4 linked regions of the Cricetulus griseus genome follow. The protein of the gene in region 3 interacts with the protein of the main gene of each other region in a pairwise test. Links are inferred from orthologs where the notes say so. Each region holds a gene or a part of one and is shown on either strand. Other genes may lie near its edges.

Region 1 (4,126 bases), on a different chromosome or scaffold from region 3:
GAGTCCAAGGCCAGCATGATTTACATAGTGAGTTCCAGCACAGCCAGAGGTACAGAGAGAGACCCTACCTAAAACAAGAACAATAAAACAACAACAACAACAAAATAAAAATGAAACCACTAACTTTACAGGTAAATGGATGTAACTAGAAAAGGTCCTATCAAGTAACCCAGACCTAGAAAGAGAAATAACACGTGTCCTTTCTCATTGGAGGCTTCTAGCTCAACATCTTCAAATATGAATACCTACCTTGGAGTAACTGCAGAAACTGGGTAGGAGAGGGGCTTTGGGGAGCAGTAGAGAGAGGAACAGCGAGGTGCACATGATGATGGAGTGAGGGATGGGAAAAAAGAGCAAGGTACAAGTGATAATGGAGAAGCAGGATAAATGAACAGAATGGATGTCTGAAAGTATCAGAAGGGATCCTATTATTTACCATCTTCCTAAAAAAGCCTATAATAAACATAAGTCTATGTATAAATATACACACACAGTTTAAAATCTGGGCAGACAATGCTCCATCCAAGAACCAAAGAATACCTAACAAAAATCTAAGACCAGGCACAAGAAGACCTCTTCTGAGTTTTTGGCCAGGGCAGTGCTGGAGACTCCCAAACCACACAGGCTATTACTATTGCCTCTGGTGGCACTCCAGAGGTAGAAGGTAAGTCCCTATTGCTGAAGACACTAAGTACTTCAGACACAGGCCTCTGAGCTGGAACTGACCTAAATGTCCCTTCTCTGAAGACTGGCTTTCATGGTATCATAAGGCACCAGGCAAGCTTCCCAAGGAGGGAAGCAACCAACAGTCCTACCCAGCTATGATGACACCTATGAAGCACAAAGACTACATGCATGGCATGATAACTCTAAGGGGGCAGTGGTGGCACACATATCCTAGTGGTAACCAATAGCTCTCTAACTGGACTTAAGACTCACTCATCAAGAGGGAAACTATGTCTGACACTGGAAACTACTAAGGGCTGGTGAAGAGCCTACAACCACCACTTTCCTAAACTGGCCTAACCCCTTACCACATTCTAAATGTTCAGCCTTATACACACAGATAAGTGTAGCCTTCACCTCTCATCGAGGAAACTTCTCTTGGCAACAGATGGAGACCATTAAAAAAAAACACAACCAATCAAAATGCAGAGTTATGGAGCCAAGTCCTAATGGATTCTACAAAATAACTCTCAAACCTAAGGCTCGGGGAACATTGCGGAAGAGGAAATGGAAAGACTGTGAGAGACAGAGGATCAGGGAGCTTGCTATGAGACTGTGTTACCTAATATCAGGAGCCACACCCATAGAGTCTCACTAATGTGACTGCCTAAATATGAGCTAAACAAGGCCAAATAGACACACCAAAGTGGTCAAGACCTCAACCCTACAGGAAACTAAGGAATGCAGAAAGCAGAGAAATAGTCTTCCCCAGAGAAGAGCACACCAATTGGTTAGCCAATGCCAAATAGTAAGCCCTGACAAGTAACATTATACACACTGAACACATTATATTTATATATTTAAGAATATACATATGTAATATTTACACAATAATTAATTTTAAAAAAGGAGGCCATGAATTTGAAAGCTAAAGGAGGGAACATATGGAAGGGTTTGGAGGAAAAAAAGGGAAAGCAGAAATGATATAATTATAATCTCAATAATAATAATGATGATGATGACTCCAGATGAGGAAATTCTGGCATGGAACAGACTACCAAAGAACAATAATTGTAAAGAGGAAAGAGCTAGCTTGGGAAAATGAGGACAGTTTGCTCTTATTTTTAAAAGCTGAGGGCTTTGGGCATGTTTATAGGCTAAGTACCTGAAGTAGGTAACTGTGGGAATAATGGCTAGGAAAAGATGCCTGCTAAGGTTTGGGGTGATGGCCAGTGGGTTTTCAGGAAGGTGACAGGATCAGCTATAGTCAAAACAGAACCACATCTATTCTTTTTTTGTTTGGGCTTTTGTTTGTTTGTTTGTTTGTTTGGGTTTTTTTGAGACGAGTGTTTCTCTGTGTAGCCCTGGCTGTCCTGGAACCCTCTCGGCAGACCAAGATAGCCTCTAACTCAGAGATCATCTGCCTCTGCTTCCCGAGGGCTTGCCACATCTATTTCATTATACAGATCTCATCTACTGGTTGTTCACTATGTTTTAAAGTCACAGTGAATTTCCAGTCACTCAAGATAATGGTGGGGATATATGTATAGACTACCTCTACTTTCAGTCACAACTGTAAACTCACCTGAATTAACTCTATAAGTCTCAGCCAAAATTCTGTATATGTTAAATAAAGTGCCACTCGGTTTTTGCTTTTTTAAAACCTCTTTCGGGTCGTCCAAACAATCCTTGGACACCCGCACTCTATCCCGGCTAAATGACTACACCAAACCAGGATGTCCTGGAATGCGAGCCAACAACGTACCTGTACGCGTTGTACTTGTGAATGGCCTGGCTCACGTTCTTCTCAAAGTTGGCGAGTTCTGAGAAGACAACAAAGAGTTCGAGTGAACAAGCACGCAGCGGGGAACTGCGGTCACGGGAAGGGGGTGTGGGTGGGTCCTGCCGGGACTGACGCAGCCGGCACGGACGCTGCGGTTGCCACCAGGGGAGACAGCAGCGAGGCCCGGCTGAGGAGTGGCACCGCAGGGCGTCCCGGGACTCACCTACGAGCATGTCGGTGATGTCGCTGTTGAGCGTCTCCTGCGGCGCCTTGCGTTTGCTCATGGCGCCGGGGTCCCGTACCTGGGAGCTGCCGGTGGGACAATGGCGGCCCTGACAGCGCGCAGCGTGGTGACGTCACGCGCCAGGCGACGGGGCGGGGCGGGGCTTAGGCGCCTGGGGAGTAGCAGGGAATCCCCGGCCGGTTTGGGAGCCGGGAGGTCAGAATTAGCCTTTAGTGGGTTAACCTGAGATCACGTCTGCTCGCCTGGTCGGAGAGCAGTGCGATTTAGAGCCTGAGATGCAGAAGGCGGTGGACGTTGGCCGCTGTGGGCAATAGCTGTGGAACGCATGGCATGGACTTTCTGTGTGGAGTGCCAGCGCCAGGTCGGCTGGCTGTCAGACTCCAAGAGGGGCTCTGTGCTCTTGGGCAGCGGGTAAAACAGGGAATGAAATACGCCAACCAAAACTTTTTAAGCACGCCTGTCAAACAACGGCTAGAGATGTGTTTTGTTTTAAATACCCATGCCTTTTGTCGGAGAGGCTAAAGGTATGAAAAGGTCACAAGAATTGTTTGACCAAGCTGATCGGCAATGGAGCCCTCATACCATATGGCTTATATGTGAGACCCTTACGATGTGCTTGAATTGAAATATAGCACCTGAGCTATTTATAAGTGTACCTCATGGGGTTCATATTAACTGCAACTGCAGCAACTGATTGAGTATAAAGTTAAATTGTTATTATGATACATACTAGTGTAGGTAAATCTGAAGAGTATGAAAGAATAAAGGAAAATTAAAATCAATGGTAGTTTTGCCATCCAACTGAGCCATTTAATATTTTGGAACACACACTTTTCTATTCCAGTCCTAACTTTTAATTTTTCCATTATTGTTGTTGCTTGTTATTAGTTTTTGTTTTGTTCTGGGATGGGATGCCTCTATGTAGTCCAGACTGTCCTTTAACTATGTAGCTTACTCAGGCTGGCCTCAAAGTCAGAGTGCTGGGATAAGTATGCACCACCAGGCCTATCAATGCATTGTTATTCTAATAATGAAGAAATGCTTTAGATAAATGACTTACTTTTATTAGCAAAGATAGGGTGCTGCTTTTGGGTGTGGGATGTACAGTAAAGACAAGTCAAGTCTTGTGCACATTTCCATGACAGGTAGTGAGAAAGTGTCCTAAAAACAGGTCAAGAATATGAGTATGATTCACTGTGAGAGTGCATGCTTAGCAGAAATGAGGCTCTCAGCACTGCACACCCACAACACAGCCGGAATAAATAAAGCAAGGAAATAGGACAGCCCTTGGGAAGTGAGACAGGGGCTAGTTAGAGCACGGGTTCTCAACCTGTGGTTTTTGAGCCCTTTGAGGGTCAAACGATCCTTTCACAAGGGTCAACTAAGACCATCAGGAAAACACAAACTACATTAAAACTAACAACAGTAGCAAA
Region 2 (4,038 bases), about 26 Mb from region 3:
GAAATTTCCAGGAGTTCAAGATGAAGTAGTCAAGAAGAAGTCATGCCCTAGGTAGGGGGTCTGCAACCCAGGTCTAGACTGGGGAGGTGGGGGCAGATGGGTGGATGGGCTGAGGGATGACTTCTCAGACCAAAAAGGCATACAGCCTGTCCCCCAAAACAAGGGGAGGGCAGAGATTTAAGTGACTTTTTCCAGGAGTACGTTACAGTAGCCCATGTGGGCCCTTACCTCTTCCTTGGCCATCTAACTGCTGGCTCTACCCTTGGGCTCAGTCACCATCTATGTACTAATTGTTAACCAAGTTCTCCTGGATACTACACTGGGCAGGTTTGCAATGAGGGTCAGAATCATGGCACTGACAGCAGAGGTTGGTACCAGAGTCAATGGTCCCAGATCTGTCTACATCAACACTGAACACTTTGGGAATTCACCTTTTCCTGCGCAGCCCCTCCCCATTATACCATCAAAGGACTGACCGAGACCCTTGCTGGTACCAAGGAAGGCACAGTCATGAGTGCAGGAGGGAGCAGGGTGGGGGTGGGGGTCGGGCACACATGGAGGGTAAATACAGTGGGACTTCACTTCTCCTAATTGTCCTACCCATGCCTGGGTTGTGGTCTTATACCAGACTCTTCTTTCAGTCCTCGTCTGCCTTCCCCTGGAATCCTATCACCTCCTGCCCCTCTGCTTTCCGTTCTCAGGACTCTAGCTGAGGGTTCCTATGTCCCACCAGACAGATACCGCTGGCCTCCGCCCTACTCAGCCCTGCTTCCAGGCTAAAGCCTGGCTCCTTGGTCTGACATTCAAGGGTCCTCATCCTGGCTGCTTCTCCCCGACCACAGTGTCCTAGGGCCCAACCATCATCCAAACTGCTGTCCATCCTCTGGGACACGCTGCTCCCTCCTTTGACCAACAATGAAGGGAAGACTCCAACCCTTCTTTCAAAGACCAGGACAGAGATGACCCTTCCGGGAACACCTGAACACTTGCCCTTCCCATCCCACCCGAGACGTCAGGATGTTTGTGCCACAGAACAGAGGACGGAAAATCCTCGCACAGACTCAACCCATCTACCGGGGCTGGCCCGGCTTCTGGATGGCGCTCTTTAGGCTCCGCCCTTGTAGAACGGCTCTGCCCAGGACTCCCACCCGGCACCGCGGCTTCCGCTCCGGACACCTCGGACCGGAAGTGTCGCGTTGCCATGGCGAGGATGGGCGCGGGGCCCGCCCCCGTGGAGCCTGGAGCAGCGCTGGGCCCCAGGGTCGGCCGGGCAGGGTCTGGGAAGCGGCTAGGCGGGCTCCAGATGAGACAGCCGGCAGTTGTAAGTGAGGGTCAGTCCTGTATGGGAACGTAGGGGCAGTCGGGGCGAGGCCCGGCGCGGAGCGGTGGGGCGGGGCATGGCGGGTGAGCCGGCGCTGCGGTCTCTGCGGCCCGGAGCTGGTCCTGCGGGGCAGAGGAATGGGTCGTGAGGGGCCTGCAGGAGGGGCGCCAGCGAGGCGGCCCGCGGAGGGTTTTTTGTCAAACCTAACAGCACAGGTAGTTCTTGCAACCTGTTGTTCAGGTAGATCGACCGACAGTCTTCATTCTGACAGGTCAGTGAAGGAAGGGACTTTCCTGTGCTTCCTGTGGGTTTGGAGTTCAGTAAAGCACACTCTCGAGCCTCTTAAGGCTTCAAGTGCCCTCGCCTGGAGGCTGTGCCTCATGAATTGTGGTTAGGAGAGGAATGTAGACCAGCCTGTGAAAAGTGTTTGGGCTTCTTTGGGTTCCTGGATGAGCCAGTGCCGGAGGCTTGAAGCAAGGAGGGTTAATTATTACGGGTGCCGAAGAGAGGTGTGTATTGGCTTGCCCCAGACTCGAGAGACAGAGCGAAGCTATCTGACCCCCTAAGCCCTCCTTTCTTCCTGGTCCTTACTTGGGGGTTCAGGTGGAGGCGAGGGCATCGATACCGCAGTTAGCCCTCTATGGTGTCTTTGCTCCCCGGGAATTCCCTTATAGAGGTTTGGTTTGAAGGCTGTGTCTTGCTGCAAGCACCCTAGCTCTCAAGAAGGCCGCCTGATTCACTTCAAGGGAACCAGAGCTGCCATTGGCCCAGCATGAGAGCTGAGTTGGTTGAGGGACTGTTGGCCTGGTGAGACCTGCCCTGACTTCGTATTGTCATCGTGATGGGACTCTTAGAGCTCTGAGGGGCCACTTGCCTGCCTCTGCTCCAAGTTTTGCCCAAGGAGGTTTATTTTTTTATTTTTTTATTTTTTTGGCCTTTCCCTCTCCTGATACCTTAGTTAGGTTTCTTCCTTATTGACTCAGAGGCCCTCCTGACCTCCCCCCCTTTTTTTTGAAAGGAATAATTCTCTTAAATATTATTTATTATTGTTTGGGACGGGTGCATGCCATGGTGTTCATGTGGAGGCTAGAGGACAACTTTGTGGAGTCCATTCTCTCTGTATGTCTCTTTTTTTTGAGGCAAGGTCTCTCTATATGGCCCTGGCTGGCCTGGAATTCATAGAGATCCACCTTTTTCTGCCTCCCAGGGATTAAAGGTGTGAGCCAGCTGGTTGGGGGTAGTGGCACAGGCCTTTAATCTCAGCACTCGGGAGGCAGAGGCAGGCAGATCTCTGTGAGTTCTAGGCCAACCTGGTTTACAGAGTGAGTGTCAGGACAGGTTCCAAAGCAGGAACTCTGTCTCAAAAAACCAAAAAAACAAAAAAAAAGAAAGAAAGAAAGAAAAAAGAAAAAGGAAAAAAGAAAAAAAATGTGGGCCAGCCAAACCCAACTCATTCTCTTCTTCCACCTTGAATGTGGGTTCCAGGGAGTTGAACTCAGGCTTGCAGGGCAAATGGCATTACCTGCTAATCTCTCTCTTTTCACCTTTTTAGACAGGACTTCAGTGTGTCACCTAGGCTGCCTTGGGATTTATACCTCCCTGTTCCAGAGTGCAGGGCTAGTGGACACAGGCCTGGTCCCTCCTGCCTCTTCATCACCAGTGTAGTGGGGAGAACTGGACTCGGTTCTGTGCTAGCAGGCATCCTGCAGCTGGACTTCTATACTCTGGACTCTGTCTGAGGGATTCTTGAGTCTATGCTATGATCTGTCTCACCAGCTGGTTACGGCAATGCCTTCACTATAGGCTGCTGAAGTATCTCAGTCACAGATAACCAGGCTCCCAGCCCTGACTTCCACACTCTCTCTGTCCCACCCACCTACTGGTCAAAACAAGGTATCTGAGGCAGCCACAGGCTGTTTTCCCACCTCTAGACTCTCTTGGAACTCCCTCTTGCATGTCCCATGAACAGTAACATACACACCAGAGTAAGGTCTATGCATGTCCTGTCCCATTCTGTGTTATACTCACCGTGCTGACATATTCAGGTGACTGTTCATCATTTACTGAATGCTTCCTGTAAGTCAGGCACTGGGCTAAACTCTTAAGAGAACTGCAATAAATCCAGAGTAAATGACATGTTAAATAAAACATGATGAGATAAGAGAGTTACAAGGTAGCCATGGGAGACTACTGACAAGGTAATACTTGAGATTAAGGTGTGATCTACATGGTTCTAAGGTACAGTGGGAGGACTTTCCAAACAGGAGCAACAGTGATTTGGAGGTGGGATAAGGATGACAGTGGTAGTACCAGGTAAATGTGACAGGCTTGGGCGTAGAAAACCTCAAAATGTTTCAGATTTTTCAGCCACATGATCTTCAAGACACTTCTGCTGTCTTGTAGAAAAATCAACCCCAGACCACACACAACTGAAGAGCTCTTTCAACAAAATTTGTATTTTCTATCATATACTGAATGGTATTGTTACCTTTTTATTGTTGTTATTATTATTACTGAAAGTAATTTTCAAAAGATTTATTTTATGGTCACTGGGTTTGATGGTGCACACCTTTAATCCCAGCACTTCTGAGGCAAAGGCTGGCAGATCTCTGTGGAGTTGAGGCCAGCCTGATTTGCAGAGCAAGTTCCAGGACAGCCATGGCTATGCATAGAAACCCTGTTCTGAAAAACCAGGAAAAAATTAATTTAAGTAGTCC
Region 3 (4,312 bases):
GTCATTTCCTCTGTGTGAAATGAAGTGGTGGGGCCAGGGCTCATGGAAGCTGCAAGTCAGTTCATTCTGCCACTGCATGCTCAATACTGAAAGTCCCTGGAGAGTCTGTCATTCTCTTTCCTGTACTGTTCAAGTACTCAAGTGCTTTCCAGTTCTGTCCTAAAGGTAATGAATCACCTTGCTCCCTTTCCCTCAGCACCAAGGGCAAACTCTTCTTCCCTTACAGAATGAAAAACAAAGGGAATCAGCAGGAATCACTTCAGACACTAGAGCAAAGTTCCAGGAGTCACTGGGAGTGCTGTGGTTGGAAAACTGGCCTATAAGGTATTCCACTCATCTGCCTCTTAAACTGGAGTCCACAGAAATGCAAAGGGCCCATGTTGCATAGGAAAAATTATTTTCACCTCTGAAATTGTTTCTTCCTAATTATGAGTGTAGGCAACAACTAGACACTGCTGCTTTGTTACCAGTTAAACTAATCTGTGTAGTTTGGATATATTCAAATGTCATTTACACTTGCTTCCCGATTTAGATATCACAGTAGACTTTTGAATACTTTGTGAGACTTGACGCTGGCTCTTGTTATTTAATCAAAACAAAGCACATGCATAATTATTTACATGTGAAGCTATCAACAGAAATTGGGTTTTAGAAGCTATTTTAAGTTTACCTCTTGTATAGTCCTATAGGTTTCGTCTAATGCATGTAAAAACATTGCTGTGAGAGGGTCTCATAAGATTGTCAATGGGGCAATTAAGATTACCCTGGGAGACATAGGCACAGTCAGCTCATTTAGGAAGCACAGAACGCCAAAGTTGGTCACCATCACTGGACATTGTAATGAGAAAAATGCAAACTATGGCTCAATAACAGTGTTGAGCCTGAAGGAGACAACAGGAACTTCGATGGAGGAAAGCAGGCAGATACTTTAAGGAATCCTGGATGCCACGAGTAGGCCATGAAGACAGCAGGGACCCATTTCGGTCCCATGCTTTGTTTCAGAAACACTGGGGACAGAACAGCCCACACCCCTCTTCCTGTTGACTAAATGGCTGCCTCTCCCCACTCCATTCATCCACCTCACCCCCAGAACGCGGGGGACACAGAGACTCCCCGGCCAAATCTGAGACCTCTGAACCTGACTTTCCAGGGCCAACATTCGCGTGGCGGGGATCCCGCGGCTCAGGCGGGCGGCCTGTCCCTCTCAAGGCTTCTCACAAACAGTGAGAGCTTGGGAGAAAGTCCGGCTGTCTGCGCACCCCAAACACAGTCCCTTTAAGAACCTGGCTCCAGCACAGAGTCCTCAGCCCCAGCGTAGACTCCACCCCTGCGCTGCAGCCCGGGCAACTCTCCTATCAAGCGCCTTGTAGAGGCGCCGTTTGCTTACGTTGCGAAACATGATTGGCTGAGCATCTGTAACTACATGCGATTGGGTGCTTTTGGCCTGGCACCGCCCTTTCCCCCGCCTCAGGCCCGCGGCGGCCCGGTGTCCTCGCGCTGCCGGTCCGCGAGCATTCTGGCAGTTTGCCTCTTCCTCCTTCGTCCTCCCGCTCGGGTCCATGGCCACCGCCGCAACTGAGGAGCCCTTCCCTTTCCACGGTCTTCTGCCGAAAAAAGAGACCGGGGCCGCCTCCTTCCTGTGCCGCTACCCGGAGTATGACGGGCGCGGGGTGCTCATCGCCGTCCTGGACACGGGGGTCGATCCCGGGGCTCCCGGCATGCAGGTGAGGCGGCGCTGAGGGCCACGGCTGGGAGGCCGGATCTAAGACCAAGCCGGGGACGGCCCGGACAGCTCCGGGCGACCGCAGGACCCCGTGTTCCCGCTCCGGTCCACACAAAAGCGGCGTGGTCGGCGTGGCTGATCGCGATCGGGGCCGCTGGGAAGCCCTGGTGGTCATCCGGGCGTGCCGGGCCTCACACCTAAGGGTCTTCGCCGGATCTCGCCCAGCGAGGATTTTACAGTTTTTAACCCTGGGGCACAGCGGGGTGGGGTGGTGACACCGATGGGGCAGCAGCCACTTGTTAGGGATGTGGTGTAGTCATTGGTTTTGGCAAAACCAGCAAAGCGGGGTTCCCAGAAGACAACCCGGTCCTCTTCCGGAGTGTTTTCTTCTGATATTTTTATATTTTTAAGTTATCTGCTGTGTGTTTGTTTAGGGTCCTTGCAATCTCCCCGGTTCATCCTTTTACATAAAGCACAATTAATTTGTCAGGGGCGAACTTCTTAGGCATTATGAAAATATGCTTTTTAAACGCCTCAAAACATAGGGGAACATATTTAAGCAATGGTTTCCCCAAATGGCTTCATTTTTCTTTATGCTAGTTGGAAATCTTTAGGGCTGGGATCTAAATCACTTTTATGAAAAGTGATTTTAAAAAAGCCTCTGGGTAAAATGCATTCTGTTTTTAAACTAAACTAGCCTTTTACTAAAACCCACTGATAGATGCTTACCAACCATTGTTGAAGATTTTCCCCAACTAACTTTTTGCCTCCTCTTTGGTCCTGTGTCTGTGTATCAGAGAAATGCATTAGATTACATAGGTAATATCTTAAACCTGTCCTCACAAAAGAGGGATGCTTAATAATTCTTTTATTCCTAATGCTTGGTTTTCCTCCTGTGTTTAGTTCTTTCATTGTGCTGCCTGATATTTGAGATAAATGGATAGTGAGATAATTGACATAGATGCTAGGAATTAGTCAAGGGATAGGAAGGAAGTCTGTGTGACCACTCTATGGATCCCCTTGGGAGTCCTGATTCTGAAAGTTTGTTGCTTCTTCTCTGGAGCTCATATAGTGGTGGTTCTGTCTGGCAGAGCTTCTGATTAGAAGTTCAGGTAATGAGTTCCCTCCAGGTGACTACAATTGTTATTGTTATCTTATTGTTGATGATTGCTAAGGCTTAAAGCATTGTGACAGCAATGCCACATTAAGGGTTTATAACAGTGGAAATGCTGCCCATTACACAGCAGTGTGTGTTTAATTTTTATAGGATGTGTGGGAGAACAGCTAGGATAAGTGAATCACTGGTTGTTTTGTTAAAGGTCAGACAATTTTGAAGTAGTACTCCTCAGTGGACATTTGTAGAAGTTCCAGATCTGCTTATCAAAGTATTTTGTTTCTGTAAAGTAACAGTTTTTACCCTGTAGAATTACTTAATAATTGAGAAGATCATTAAATATACGTGACTTTAAAGTGCTGAAGAAAAGTTTTAAATACTATTTTTAAAGTCCTAAATAAGCAATAAATGTCTATTAGGAGGCATTTATAGTAGGTCTATACTTATGAATTGTCTGAAGGAAAAATATGTTTGATATTTACATATTACATGAATATTCAGTCAATAAAATATTGAAACCAAATGGAAACATAAGAGCATCAAGAATTAATGCTCAAATTGTAAACATGATCAGTTTTTTTTTAATTCAGCAAGGAACTTAGCACATGAGTGACTTCAGTATTTTCCTCACCTGATGAATTTATTTTGTAGCTCTGTGTATACATCATTTTGGTAAGACAGAAATAAAAAGCAAAGAATAGAAGAAAAGGCTGACCTAGCTGTTTGGGATACCAACTGATACCAAAGTACTAGAGAACTTTGAGGGACACAGCCTGCCTTAGGCCAAGTCTTTTTTTTTTTTTTTTTTTTTTTTTTTTTGGTCACAGCTTCTGGGTGTATTCCAAGCAGAGGCAGTGCCAGGTATGATGGCATACTCCTTTGTGCAGACAGATTGAGGAGAGTAATACTTATAGAGATGATTAAATATATTCCCCCAGCAAGCATTCAAGCACCTGATAGGTGTCTACTCTTCCATTATATAATGAAGTCCTGCAAACTGAGTGTTTCAAAGATAGAGAGGTAGGATATCAGGAAGACTGACTGAGAACATGGATGGGTTTCATGACAAGATAACCTTTGGTCTAGATCATATATACAAAAGCAATTATTGCTTCCACCAATCTCATCATTGATCCATGCTTCACATTTCCAAATTTACTACCCATCAAAAGCAAACCTAGTATCGAGTATTTGTTCAAAACAAACTGTTTGCTTTTGAATAAAACTCCAAAATTTTGAATTCTATTACAAACCTTTCACCTTGCAACTGTAACCTTTGGGTATATATAGCCTGAGCACTGCCCTTCATTCCATACTTCTCTCTTGAACCTCTGATTTCCATCTTCTCTAGGCACCTAGCTGTTGCAGGTCCTAATACATGCCTTTGCATGTGGTGCTTCATTTTCCCAAAAGCTTCCTATAGTTCCCTGCAAACTCCCGCTTCATCCTCTGAAGGCATTACTGATTTAATTCAG
Region 4 (4,064 bases), on a different chromosome or scaffold from region 3:
GGCGACATGCAGATAGTGTGCAGTGCTTACCCAAGAGGAATGAGATCCTGTGAAGTAGCCAAGCACTTCATAAGACAAGTAAAATAATAGGATATGGCAGATCAAACCAATAATCAAAAGACTATCAAATAGTCAAGCAGTCTTCAAACAGCAACACAGTTACTCATCCATGGACTAGCAAATTACACATCCATGGACTCAGCAAATATGGAACCCATGCATACAGTTTTGTACTAGCAGGAAAAGAAAAATCAACATGCTACCACCCAGCTGTATCCGATGGTCTCTCAATGTGCTACATTTACAAAGGGACTAATTGATAGGACTGTGGGTGATCCTGTTGTTGAGGCATAGCACTGGGTGAACCTGATAGTAACTGCCCTTTGAACTTTGTCCCTTGAAGGTCTCACTTGCCTCACATAGGTCCTGTCCCTGTTGAGTCGCCAACTCTAAACACCCAAGCAGTATATTAGATTTACATAGAAGCTTACACCCAGATCCCACTGTGGGAGCCACAGCAGAAAGCTCTGGGCTCAACTAAAATAAAAAATGTAGAGACACGATGGCCAGTGACTGATTCCTACAAGATGAAGAGGACAAAGTGTCACAAGCTGGCTCCAAATATGCTTATCTTCCCCTGCTCCAAGGCGGAGGGGTGCAATAAGGCCAGTCAGTGCTATTAAACCTTGAACTCTACCTGTTCAAGTTCCTAGGATACTGTGGCCGAGTGTGTTCTCCTAGTTACCAGCATCTGAAGGGGGACAAAGCTGAAGCTACTGCTCCTGTAGGCGGGGAGAACTGGGCTGGCCATGCAGACTCTCTCCAACAGAACACACTAGGAGAGTTTGGGGACTAGTTAGTCTACAGATTAGGCATGGTTTGAGAGGTAGTAGATAGAGATTCCCGACGTTTGTCTGAAGCCGCTTGCTCCCATGAGGCTGTTGTCATCGCTGACACCTGAAGGAGTGCTTTGGGTGATGGGCTGTCCTTGACATGTGGGGGCTCCCATGCCTCTGAACGCAACTTGTTACCAGGGCTTCCAGGGCACTCAGGATTTTTCTACTAACTAAACCCTTTCTTAATTTCAAGAAGTAAAGAACATGTCTGGAAATAATCTTTCGACCTTGTTAAAACTTGGGAAACATCAGTGAAGATTTACGTGTGTGTGTGTGTGTATGTGTGTGTGTGTGTGTGCGTGCGTGCGTGCGTGCGTGCGTGTGTGTGTGTGTGTGTGTGTGTGTGTGTGTGTGTGTTTCTTGTCCACCTGTACACTGTCTTCTGGCTACTTGGTGGGCTTTGGCAACCATGAAAAACATGCACATCGGAAGGACCCTGTCCAGGCTGAGCTTTGAGAGGGAAGAAACAAGGCATGGCTTATTGTCAGTATCCAGCCTACGTCCAGCTCATAATAGGTGTGCAGTTCATGGATGAAGTATGAGAAATCCCAGCCCTTAGACGGGGACAGAACCAGAGAGGAACAGGCAGACCGGGCACTCGGGGCTTCGTGCCGGGGCAGATGATTGGTTTCGGAACACGTGTTTGACTCCAGTTGTGAGACCCAGCAGCTCAGCATGCCTTTCGACATTCTGTCTGCTAGCCTAGGAGGACTACCCTTCCCTGGAGCGCAGCCAGCATTGGGGAGCATGTGGTGCAAGGGGCAGGAGGCGGTGGCGGCGACTCCCATTGGTCCAGCGCGTGCCCCTCCTCTCGGAGCGGCCCAGAAAAGAACTCCCGGCTGTCCCAGACATCAGAGGTGCAGGATACCTTGAGAAAATGGCTGAGTATCTCAGGCTGCCTCACTCCCTGGCGATGATCCGCCTCTGCAACCCTCCGGTTAACGCCATCAGGTAACAGCACCGGGTCAGGGGGTGTGGCGGGTCTGGGTCGGGGCTCTCCTCCCTAGAAGGACCTGCCAATGAGCAGCTGGCTCCGGCCTTCCTTATGTCCGCTGTCAACCTCACAGCTCGCTCAAGTCTGCTTGGTTCTAGTGGTTCAGGAACCTACAGAGGCGTGGCTTTCTGCAACCCTACTTCGGGCTAGCAACCCTAGCTTCTCTGTGTGAAGCCCAAAGCTATAGTTACCCGACTCAGAGAGTGGGTCTCCAAGCTCCAAGCTCCCTGTCAGAGGAGGCTGCTGCATAGCATTTTCTGAAAAGCTGAAGTTTTGTTTACTTCATTGGCCATGCCCTGGGTGCAATGCCCTTAGCACATTGCTTTTAAAAGTGAGATCTGTTGTCTTTTTGGAAAATGAACAAGTTGACTTATCTTGTTCATTCCATATCACTGGCGAACAGAGTATAATTCTCTATTAGCCTCAGGAGGAATTACCCGTACGCAGACTGCCGAAGTGGTGGACGGGATCATGACCGATAGTGTGCAACATTTACCTGAGATGTTGCTAAAATCCCTTTCCTGGGGGAGACCTCCTACAGCCCAAAGGACAACCCTAGAAGCAATTCCAGACAAGTTCACTCTGGGGGGAACCAATGGGTTTATTCGGCCAACTTTCAGAACAGTGAGGGGGGAGCTAGGAGCAGAAGCATGGGTGGCCTTAGGGCAGCCACACTAGAAAGCAATCCTCCCTGGCAAAGACGACGAGTTCCGTTTGACTGTGCTGGAGTCTCCTCCCCTAATCCTTCCTACCTGTAGCCCTTCCCAGAGACCTGGAGGGGAGCTCCACTGCACAGACGCCCTCCCGCCCCCCCCCCCCTCTCTCCCCCCCACAGTTGCTTCTGCTCCTGTAACTTCGGAAGTGAGGGGTTGGGGCGGTGTGGGGTGTGTGTGAATCTTGCAACTCTCTGAGCTTCCTGGGCATCTTAAACATCGGTAAATTTATTTAGCTTCCAGAATCTTGTCAGTTTCTTCAGTTTCCTGAACCTTAGCCTTTCTCCTCCTTCAGGAAGGAATGCTTCAATCCCAGAAAAATAGCTGTGTAAAAGCAGAATAAATAAAGTGAAAATAGGTCATTTGGTGAAAATTCCCATCACAAGCTGCTGGAGCAAAACAAACAGATGCTGGGTTGGCACACACCTGTAATCGCAGCATTCAGGAGCCTGAGGCAGGAGGAAACATTGGTCTCAAAAACAAAACAAACAAACAAAAAACAGAAAGGAGGAGACATGTTCATTTTAAACCACACTGCCATTAGGTTTTATATTAAATTTTTTTAAAATTTATTTTATTTTATGTGTATGGGTGTTTTACCTGCACATATGTCTGTGAACTGCATGCGTGCCTAGTGCCCACGGAGGTCAAATTTTTATCCTTATTATTAATGTAATTTCTTTTGAGACAGGATCTTACTGTGTAGACCTGTCTGATCAGTGAACTAGGTGGGCCTCGAACTCACAGAGATCCACCTGCCTCTGCCTACCAAGTATTGTGATTAAAGATGTGTGCTACTAACCTGGTTTGATACTATCCTTATTTTAATGTGAAGGATTGCATTCACTAATACAAATGCAGTATGTATTGATAGAGTAATAGTATGCAGGAATAAAACCACACACATATGTATCCACTTGCTGGCCATTTGGGGGGGGGGTGGAAGTAAAATACTGATTATGTCCATTTCACAGTTGATCTCAGCCCAGAGACCAGGAAGTAGGTGCCGCGTGTGTTTTCACGAAGAAAGCATAAGCAATATGATTCCTTATCCACATGGGGTGTTTGCATACTGATATGGTTACTAGATAGAAGATTCTGCAGGGATGTCTATGTCCATCAAGAGGTGAGAGGGAATGTCCCAATCTCAGGTCCACAGTCAGATACGTTTCTAGTGTTTAACCTGCTCATTCCCTCCCCAATCTGGAGAAATGTAAGTACCTAACATAAAAAGTCCCATGGGTTAAATGAAATGGAGATTGTAAATGACTTTTACACTTGTGGTTCTCCTGGTATCTCTGAGCAGCCTGTGATCAGTCTCCTATCGTGGCCCCCTTTCTCAACATCTGCTTCAGCCTCGTGGAGATTTTTCATCTTGGACCCTGCACATTCCCATCTGTTTTACTTTGAAATTTAACGGCACGTAAATTGTTTACCAACTTAACAGCTTCCTTTTTTTTT

What was found.
Region 1: the proteins of Tpp2 (region 3) and Polb interact in binary tests that used the Homo sapiens proteins (3 or more experiments, as listed by UniProt). The two-hybrid records come from large-scale screens. The link is inferred for Cricetulus griseus from reciprocal best matches to the Homo sapiens genes TPP2 and POLB.
Region 2: the proteins of Tpp2 (region 3) and Ppp1r16a interact in binary tests that used the Homo sapiens proteins (3 or more experiments, as listed by UniProt). The two-hybrid records come from large-scale screens. The link is inferred for Cricetulus griseus from reciprocal best matches to the Homo sapiens genes TPP2 and PPP1R16A.
Region 4: the proteins of Tpp2 (region 3) and Ehhadh interact in binary tests that used the Homo sapiens proteins (3 or more experiments, as listed by UniProt). The two-hybrid records come from large-scale screens. The link is inferred for Cricetulus griseus from reciprocal best matches to the Homo sapiens genes TPP2 and EHHADH.

Annotation. Positions count from the first base shown.
Region 1 is NW_023276807.1:61,041,867-61,045,992, reverse strand, and holds the start of Polb (DNA polymerase beta), read right to left. Parts: upstream 2,832-4,126; 5' UTR 2,734-2,831; coding exon 2,673-2,733; intron 2,490-2,672; coding exon 2,432-2,489; intron 1-2,431.
Region 2 is NC_048595.1:373,948,843-373,952,880, forward strand, and holds the start of Ppp1r16a (protein phosphatase 1 regulatory subunit 16A), read left to right. Parts: upstream 1-1,182; 5' UTR 1,183-1,321; exon of another isoform or gene 1,322-1,331; intron 1,332-1,455; exon of another isoform or gene 1,456-1,592; intron 1,593-1,682; exon of another isoform or gene 1,683-1,830; intron 1,831-4,038. UniProt on the Homo sapiens protein: Inhibits protein phosphatase 1 activity toward phosphorylase, myosin light chain and myosin substrates.
Region 3 is NC_048595.1:400,372,562-400,376,873, forward strand, and holds the start of Tpp2 (tripeptidyl-peptidase 2), read left to right. Parts: upstream 1-1,465; 5' UTR 1,466-1,559; coding exon 1,560-1,724; intron 1,725-4,312. UniProt on the Homo sapiens protein: Cytosolic tripeptidyl-peptidase that releases N-terminal tripeptides from polypeptides and is a component of the proteolytic cascade acting downstream of the 26S proteasome in the ubiquitin-proteasome pathway.
Region 4 is NC_048597.1:67,141,416-67,145,479, forward strand, and holds the start of Ehhadh (peroxisomal bifunctional enzyme), read left to right. Parts: upstream 1-1,214; 5' UTR 1,215-1,773; coding exon 1,774-1,847; intron 1,848-4,064. UniProt on the Homo sapiens protein: Peroxisomal trifunctional enzyme possessing 2-enoyl-CoA hydratase, 3-hydroxyacyl-CoA dehydrogenase, and delta 3, delta 2-enoyl-CoA isomerase activities. Catalyzes two of the four reactions of the long chain fatty acids peroxisomal beta-oxidation pathway.